Linked DNA regions of Schizosaccharomyces pombe. The gene in region 1 interacts genetically with each later gene. Each region holds a gene or a part of one and is shown in the gene's direction. Other genes may lie near its edges.

Evidence for each region. Genes that interact genetically often act in the same process or in processes that back each other up.
Region 2: of alp21 (region 1) and alp11, extra expression of one rescues a mutant of the other (dosage rescue), as found in Schizosaccharomyces pombe (2 studies listed by BioGRID).

The regions. Positions count from the first base shown.
Region 1 is NC_003424.3:2,388,311-2,392,067, forward strand, and holds alp21 (tubulin-specific chaperone cofactor E), read left to right. Parts: upstream 1-1,625; 5' UTR 1,626-1,775; coding exon 1,776-1,930; exon of another isoform or gene 1,931-1,968; coding exon 1,969-2,237; exon of another isoform or gene 2,238-2,279; coding exon 2,280-2,379; exon of another isoform or gene 2,380-2,425; coding exon 2,426-2,701; intron 2,702-2,744; coding exon 2,745-3,480; 3' UTR 3,481-3,633; downstream 3,634-3,757. Other genes in the region: protein Cbp8, read left to right, coding at 1-1,363.
Region 2 is NC_003424.3:2,251,481-2,255,072, forward strand, and holds alp11 (tubulin-specific chaperone cofactor B), read left to right. Parts: upstream 1-1,902; 5' UTR 1,903-1,987; coding exon 1,988-2,692; 3' UTR 2,693-2,960; downstream 2,961-3,592. Other genes in the region: ubiquitin ligase Btb3, read right to left, coding at 20-1,290, 1,341-1,432, 1,501-1,709; ribonuclease H2 complex subunit Rnh201, read left to right, coding at 3,108-3,592. UniProt on the Schizosaccharomyces pombe protein: Required for microtubule function and cell polarity. Involved in the proper folding of alpha-tubulin.

The DNA.
Region 1 (3,757 bases):
AATTTTGCAAACAATTGATCTGTTTAAATATGACAGTTCATTCTCTTCTATATATTTTCGAAAAGATGGACCGTACCACAAAGTTGAAAAACTGCTGAAAAGCGCTAATATTCGCTCTTCACTTAATTCAAAAACTTTTAATGATTTCCGCACACTTTTCTTGCTTCTCATTAGAGATTACAGTCTTTTCCATGGAAATTCGAGCCATTGCATGTTAGCTAATTCTATGCTACCACCGTCTATTGCTTTTTCGAAGATGGAGAAGGCTGAAATTTTTTTACGTTTACGTGCGTTTTTTCAGCTTATGGAGCATATTGATAATGAAAGGATAACTCCATCTGAACAGTTTCTGGATAAAGTCTTTATATCTCTCCTTTCGGCTAAAAATAGCTGCTCTCTTAAAATGTGGCTCATTCACTCATTTAATAAGGGATGGCCGGTAAAAATTGAGTTTTTTGTTTCTTTTTTCAAAAATTTTTCCAATATAGTAGAAGGCTCTATGGAGGTCTATTCCGCATATTTACATATTATACGAGATCACTACAATTTATCTGATTTGGCTGACGTACAAGCAATTTTTCTTTCTCGTTTTATTTTATTAAGAAAGAAAGAAGATTGCAAAAAACTACTGGAGCATGTTTTACCTATTCGTCAGCTTTTTTTGTTAAATTGCTATAGCCTGCTAAATGTACTCGCTAATTACGTTGTCGTCTTTAAAGATCGTTTAATTTTTCAAGAAATAAATCAAAATTGGGAAGAGCATAAAGGCCAAATTCCGGAAAATTTTATTTTCTCTCTTTTGAAGATGTTTGGTGAAATGCAAGAGAATCAAGGTTTTTTGAATGCCTGTATTTATTATATAAACAAAAAGAAAAATTTAAACGAAGTTAGTCGTTATAAGATTAATTTATTATTACTACAAGGTGTGAATTCCTTCGAAGTAAAAGACTTTTACAGAAAACGAGGAATCGAAATAATGCCAAAAAACCTGCCCAGATTTTTTTGTTATTGTTTAAAAAAAAATAAATTAAGTTATGCTTTAAAGTATATACGGTTATCTGGGCTTCAGTTTGATTACATTGTTGATTGTTTCCGTAATAGCAGCGACTGGACCAGAACTCTGATTTCGATATTGAGCAAAAAAATGGGAACTGAATTCGCAATTCGTTTTTTAAAGATAATTTCTTTTCCTTTGTTATCAAATGACAAAGTTCTCCGAGAGATCGAATTTTTTGCCATTCACGAGGTAAATTTTAGAAGTCTCAAATGGGTTGCAGATCAACAATTGCGAATTCTCCCAGGATGGAGTTCTCGCCCCCAAAAAGCAACATTTCCTTTATGTACAGTTCATTTAAAAAAGTGATAATTCTCGATAGTGCTGCTTCCAATCTACATCGTGCTTGGTGCTTGATACATTTAAACGCATTGTTTGATAATTAATATATTCATTGGTATCAAGTTGTACTTTACGAGGTATGCAGCCAACAATAGATTATTTACATTAACATTGAGAGACTTAATAAAGCAGCACATTTAAAAATGAGATCGACATTAGAATCAAAACCCGTATAATAATAAGCAGTATTTCCAACTATTTTCCTAACAAATCTGATGCCATCTATATTATCACTACGTACTGAACACTTCTATGTCGCAAAGAAAAAGTGCGGTTAAAACTTTTTGTTGTAGATAAAAGACAAAATTTGAAAGAAACAAAAAACTTAAACTGCCCAAATTTTTATAGCAATCCATTTTCTTTCCCACGTTGATTAATAATGCATATATCCACTGGAATGGTTAGGGCTTCTATATCTAATACTTTAGTAACATTAACCATCGAAGGAAACAATGATCGATACCAAGTCATACTTGATAAAAACGTAAATGCAAAACAGTTTGTTAAAACGTGTTGGAGAAACAAAAAACCATTGTAAGATTGTTATTGACGACAAGAAACTAAACTATTAGAATTGTAAAAGAAGGAAAAATATTTGTAGACAAAGGATTCCCTTTTGATCCATGCAGAACATTTTTGGAAGCACTTTACGAAAAATATTCATATTCAAGTCCCCTACCTTCCTCTGTTGAATTTAAAAGTGGAAAACAGGTAGAATTCTGTGGTTTCGAAAAAATCCAAAGCAAGCAAAGAGATTTAAAAAGCTTGCGCGTTATTATTCTAGACAATTATAGGATTGAAGATATTGAAATAGAGTACGAGTATTCTAAAATACTACCTGGTATGTCACTTATTTTCAACTAAATGTTAACGGAATTTGTAGAAGTTATCGACTTAGATTTATCGAGAAATTTGTTTCATGAATTTTTTCCAATCCTTAAATTGTGTTCCCAGCTTCCTTCATTAAGAAATTTAACTCTAGAGCATGTGTTTTTGTTTATCTCTACACGTATATTCTAACTCTTTCAGTTCAAACTTATTTTCAAATTTTATTAGCTCAAATACCGTTCTTTTAATTCCTCATTTAACACAACTTTCAGTGAATGGATGTGGCCTAAACAGTAAAGATGTTCAATGGATTACAGAGACTTTTCCCAGTTTGGAAGTACTTTACCTTGAAGCAAATGAAATAATTTTATCAAAAGCAACATCTTTTAAAAATCTGCAGTTCCTTCAAACGTTAAGTCTTGCAAATAATCTCAATCTTTATAGTGCTGATGGCTATGCAGTTGATGTGTTCCAAGGGTAAGTATATTTGAGAAATACGAATTAGGTTTCTAATCTAAAGAATTAACAATTTGAATTTATCTTCTACCTCCCTCGCTGATGTTGCAGAACTACCTGTACACACTTTACACAAATTGACATTCCTTGACATATCAGAAAACAACATTAGGGATATTCGTTCTCTGGATCATCTTCGTACATTAGAAAACTTAAAGCACCTGCGTATAACACTTTCTTATTTTAATAAACCTACTGATATAGCTAAACTGCTGGTGATTGCGCGAATTCCTTCTCTTGTAAAATTGAATGATGTGAATATATCACCTAATGAGCGTTTGGATGCTGAGTTGTACTACACTTCATGCATCCGGAAGCTTGTGATTGATAATGAAATTAAGGATGTTGAAGAGCTTACGAAAATAGAGCCATTCTGGGAGGAAATATGGAAATCTCACGAGTTGCCAAGCATTCAATTCCATTTGGAAGCTTCAATCAATGACTGGACGTCTGGCATTCTTAAAAATCGCATAACAAAGGGCATCAAAATATCGTCAATTAACTCAGGTGCGACAATGTTATTAAAGCTCCATTATAATTGGAAACTGTTAGATATAAAAGCTTTAATTTCATACCACTTCGCAATTCCAGTACATACGTCTACTTTTGTCTTTGCTTCAAGCGAACGAGATGTAAGCTTCTCTCCAAAGACTGTCAGAGACGACCAAAAGCGTCTCTTTGAACTCCCTTTTACTTGTACTTTTATCGATGTATATGCAAAGGAAAGTGGAAACGTCTAAAGCCAAGTTATTACTTGAAGGACCAAAATCGATGCTCTAGTTTTACGGCTTCTTTTAAAATACAGAAAAATCTTTTTAGCGAACTCTTTTCTAGTATTATAGTTTACGCGATTAGTCATTAGAAGTTTTTTATATTTAATATTCAATAACTCTTTAAATATACTAATTCCATGTATATACCATATATGAAAAGTGCCTCTAAGTTATTTAATCGGTTCGACACAATTATAAAATTATTAAGAAACAAAGAAAACCAAAGCCAAAACCTTGAACCAAT
Region 2 (3,592 bases), 140 kb from region 1:
ATTTTTTCTACCATTGCCATTAAGCTTGTAGCTCCAGTTTATCTAGTAAATCGTCAATCATCTCCATTTTTTGATTATATTCGCTTTCATAAGGTGTTAATGTATCTACAACTCCATCAATGCACAAATCCTCATGGTAAATGCCAAAACGTTTTGAGAGGAAATAACGAATATCATCAATGAGTTCGATCGTGTCTGTTTCTTGTCTCTGTAAAATTCGATCAGCACTTTCTTTGACTAATTCACAGAATTCAGGATCGTCAATCAAGTGCTCCAAATGATTTGCCATATATTCGGAAGCGTATTGCTCCAGGCGAGGCGTAGACGTATCCCAAGCTGTTCGTAGAATATCGTAAATACTATCTATAGGCTCTTCTTGTTTAGTAATAACTATAGAAGCTAAAGATTTCAAGCTTCTATCTTTATCTAACGACAACATGTCTGCAACGTAAACTACATCTAAAGCTAATTCCGGCGCTATATCAGTTTTGTCGGTATATAAAAACTTCAATACAATTTCAACAACAGAACTTGAAAAAGGTAAAGACAAAACCGGTAGTTCTTGATTGCTTTCCAAAAATGGTCCTGCTAACATGTCCAAAAAATATTCACATCTGCACATGATGGCACGATGGACGGGATAGCGGTGTGTATAAGATTGCAAGTAAGCATCGTGAAACGAATACTGATCGGAAGGTTGGTTAAGAGATTCAATGGGTACTTTGTAGTTAGAGATTATATAATCCAAAAATTCTCCTAGATCATTTTGAGTTTTTGCCAACTGGATTTTCTTCCAATCTCTAGAGTGTAACTGCTCGCGATCTTTTTCATACAATGCGATAAAATCGTTTAACTGGAATTTTTTTCCAATACTCAGAAGAGCATTGTTATACTGTTTGGTGAAAACAGCATTTGTGTCTAAGTAGAGATATCGCAAAATTGATTCAAACTCTTTAGCAAAATGTTTGACTTCAATTTCATGTTCACTGGGTCCCAATTTCGAAAATTTTGATTTAAAATATGAACTTCTGGCAGCTAAATAGAATTTATGAGCAAAAACCCTACCATATTGACCGGCAAAGACTATGTCAGTAGTAAAATGTAAAGCCGAGTTCGACAACAAGGAAGTTATGTGACTAGCATAAGGTTGGGACTCATCAATGGCTTTAGTAATATCATAAGAAAGAAGCATACGGCGAATATTATCATTAAGGGCACCATACAAACATCTTTCTCCTTGAAAAGTATCTCGTTCGCATAAAGCACCATTTTCAAGAAGAAATTTTACAACTTAAGCGTGAGAAAATATAATAATTGAGAGCAAAACATTCATAGCATACCTGGTTCATGCCCGCAAAGACTCGCAAGGACTAAAGGCGAGTAGTCAAATTGGTCTACTTGATTAATAGGTGTGTTATAGTTTTCGACCAAACTGGATTTTGAATTTAGCAATTGCAGTTAAAATTGTTTATCGATTCAATATTTTTAAATTGCACATACCTCTTGACAACTTCCAAATCTCCACGCCGACAAGCTTCACAAAGCTCAAGAAATTCTTGGGTATCATTTACTGTGAAAAGTGAGGAAGACAGCTTCTTCTCATCCATTGCCTTTGACCAAAGGTCATACTTGGAGAAAAGCTTTTTAGAATTTTCACCACCTTGCAATTCGACATGTGTTGTCCCTGTATTTTGATCTTGAGAAGCCATTTTAATAAATGAAGAACAATTAACAACCGATTAAAAGGTTATACTGAGCAAAGATTGCACTTATGTTCAACAGTATTATCGACTTAAAATTTAATTGATCATATGCGAAATGTAGTTGGTTAACGAGGGTTCTATGTAATTGTTCAAGTTCGATGTGATTTGTGAACGACTGACCAAGGCGGCGTCAGCATTTAACTACTACGTCTTCCACCACTTTATATATTCTTGTGTTTTCCGTTTTCATTAATCATATATCTTAAGTTAAAATTATTTGCTACATGAATGAGATAACTCTCTTTATTAAATCTTCCTCTGCAAATGCTGAACGAAGGATTAACCCACAATGGACTGTTAGTCAGCTTAAGACCAAATTAGTTCCTATCGTAGGGACACCAGAACAATACCAAAAACTTACGTATGAACCTGCTTCCAGTACAGTCCCTGGACACGTTTTCACTAGCGAAGAAGAGAATTTAGACCTAGGGGAATTCAAGCTTCAGCCTCTGGGGACTATAGTCGTTGAGGATACACGCCCTCCTCATTTGCGTCTAGACTTTGACGATCTTTCACAGGTTGATAAATATGTAATGCCTCGTGAACAGTATGAGAACAGGACAGATTCTGTCTATGCCTGGAAAAAAAGAAATCAGCTTGGACGATTCAATCCAGACTTTGAAGCAAGTAAAGCTTCTCGACAAGAATCTTTAAAACGTGAATTAGTCGACTTACAAAAAAATTTAAATTCTAGGTGCTGTGCAGCAGGAGAGAGATATGGAACTATTCGCTATATTGGACTAGTGCCTGAAATTAATAATGACAATCTGTGGGTTGGCGTCGAATTTGATGAACCAGTTGGGAAAAATGATGGGACAGTCAGCGGAAAGAGATACTTTAATGCGAAAAATAAACATGGATCCTTTCTTCGATCTTCTGAAGTTGAAGTAGGAGACTTCCCTCCAGAAGATATTTTAGAAGGTCTTTGATGTTGTTATTCGTTTTACAAGGTTCCATGTTAATGATTTCCTTTTTTTTTGTTAAATCTTGTATGCAGGCTTCGATTGCTAGGAGATGACTCGCTTAAGATAATGAACAATTTTCTAAAAAAATGAAAGTCTAAAAAGTAAATCATTTAGTTTAGTCATTTCTCAATTAAAATATTTTTACTCAATCAAAGAAAGCATTATAACTGTAATGAATTGTTTGTCTGGCTTTTCTTTTTTTTTTATTTACATCGTTTTACCGTAGTACCGCTAATTAAAACCACGAACGAAAGAAAACTGTGTTAGGCCTATTTGCGCATTCCTTCAACCCCTTTATTTATTTTTTTATTCAGTTTTTGAGCCAAATATTAGAAGTACTCTGATAATTCTTTAAAAGATACAAAGCAGCAATCTCAACATGAAAGATGATCACGATGCATGGGAACCAGAAGAACTAGTCAGTGACAATAACTCTTCAGAAAATGAGCTACAAGAAGACCAAAATTCTTCAATAACTTTTTTACCACCTTCAGTTAATAAATCGAATCCCGCAAAATCGAATTACTATCATTCAACAGTCACTGATGATATTTCCAAGAGTCAGCCATATCGATTAGGAGTAGATGAAGCTGGTAGAGGCCCTGTCTTAGGACCTATGGTATATGCTGTCGCTTACTGTCCAGTCGATTTCGATTTGACCAACTATGGGTTTGCTGACAGTAAAACTTTGGCCTCCTTAAAGCGAGAGGAACTTCTGAAATTAATTTGCAACAAATCTAACGAGCTAGGAAAAAACGTTGGATGGTCTACTATGTCTATTTCCGCAAGAGAATTAGCTGCAGGAATGCTGAGGTACCGGAACAAGTATAATTTAAATCTTCAAGCACATGATACGACAATTGA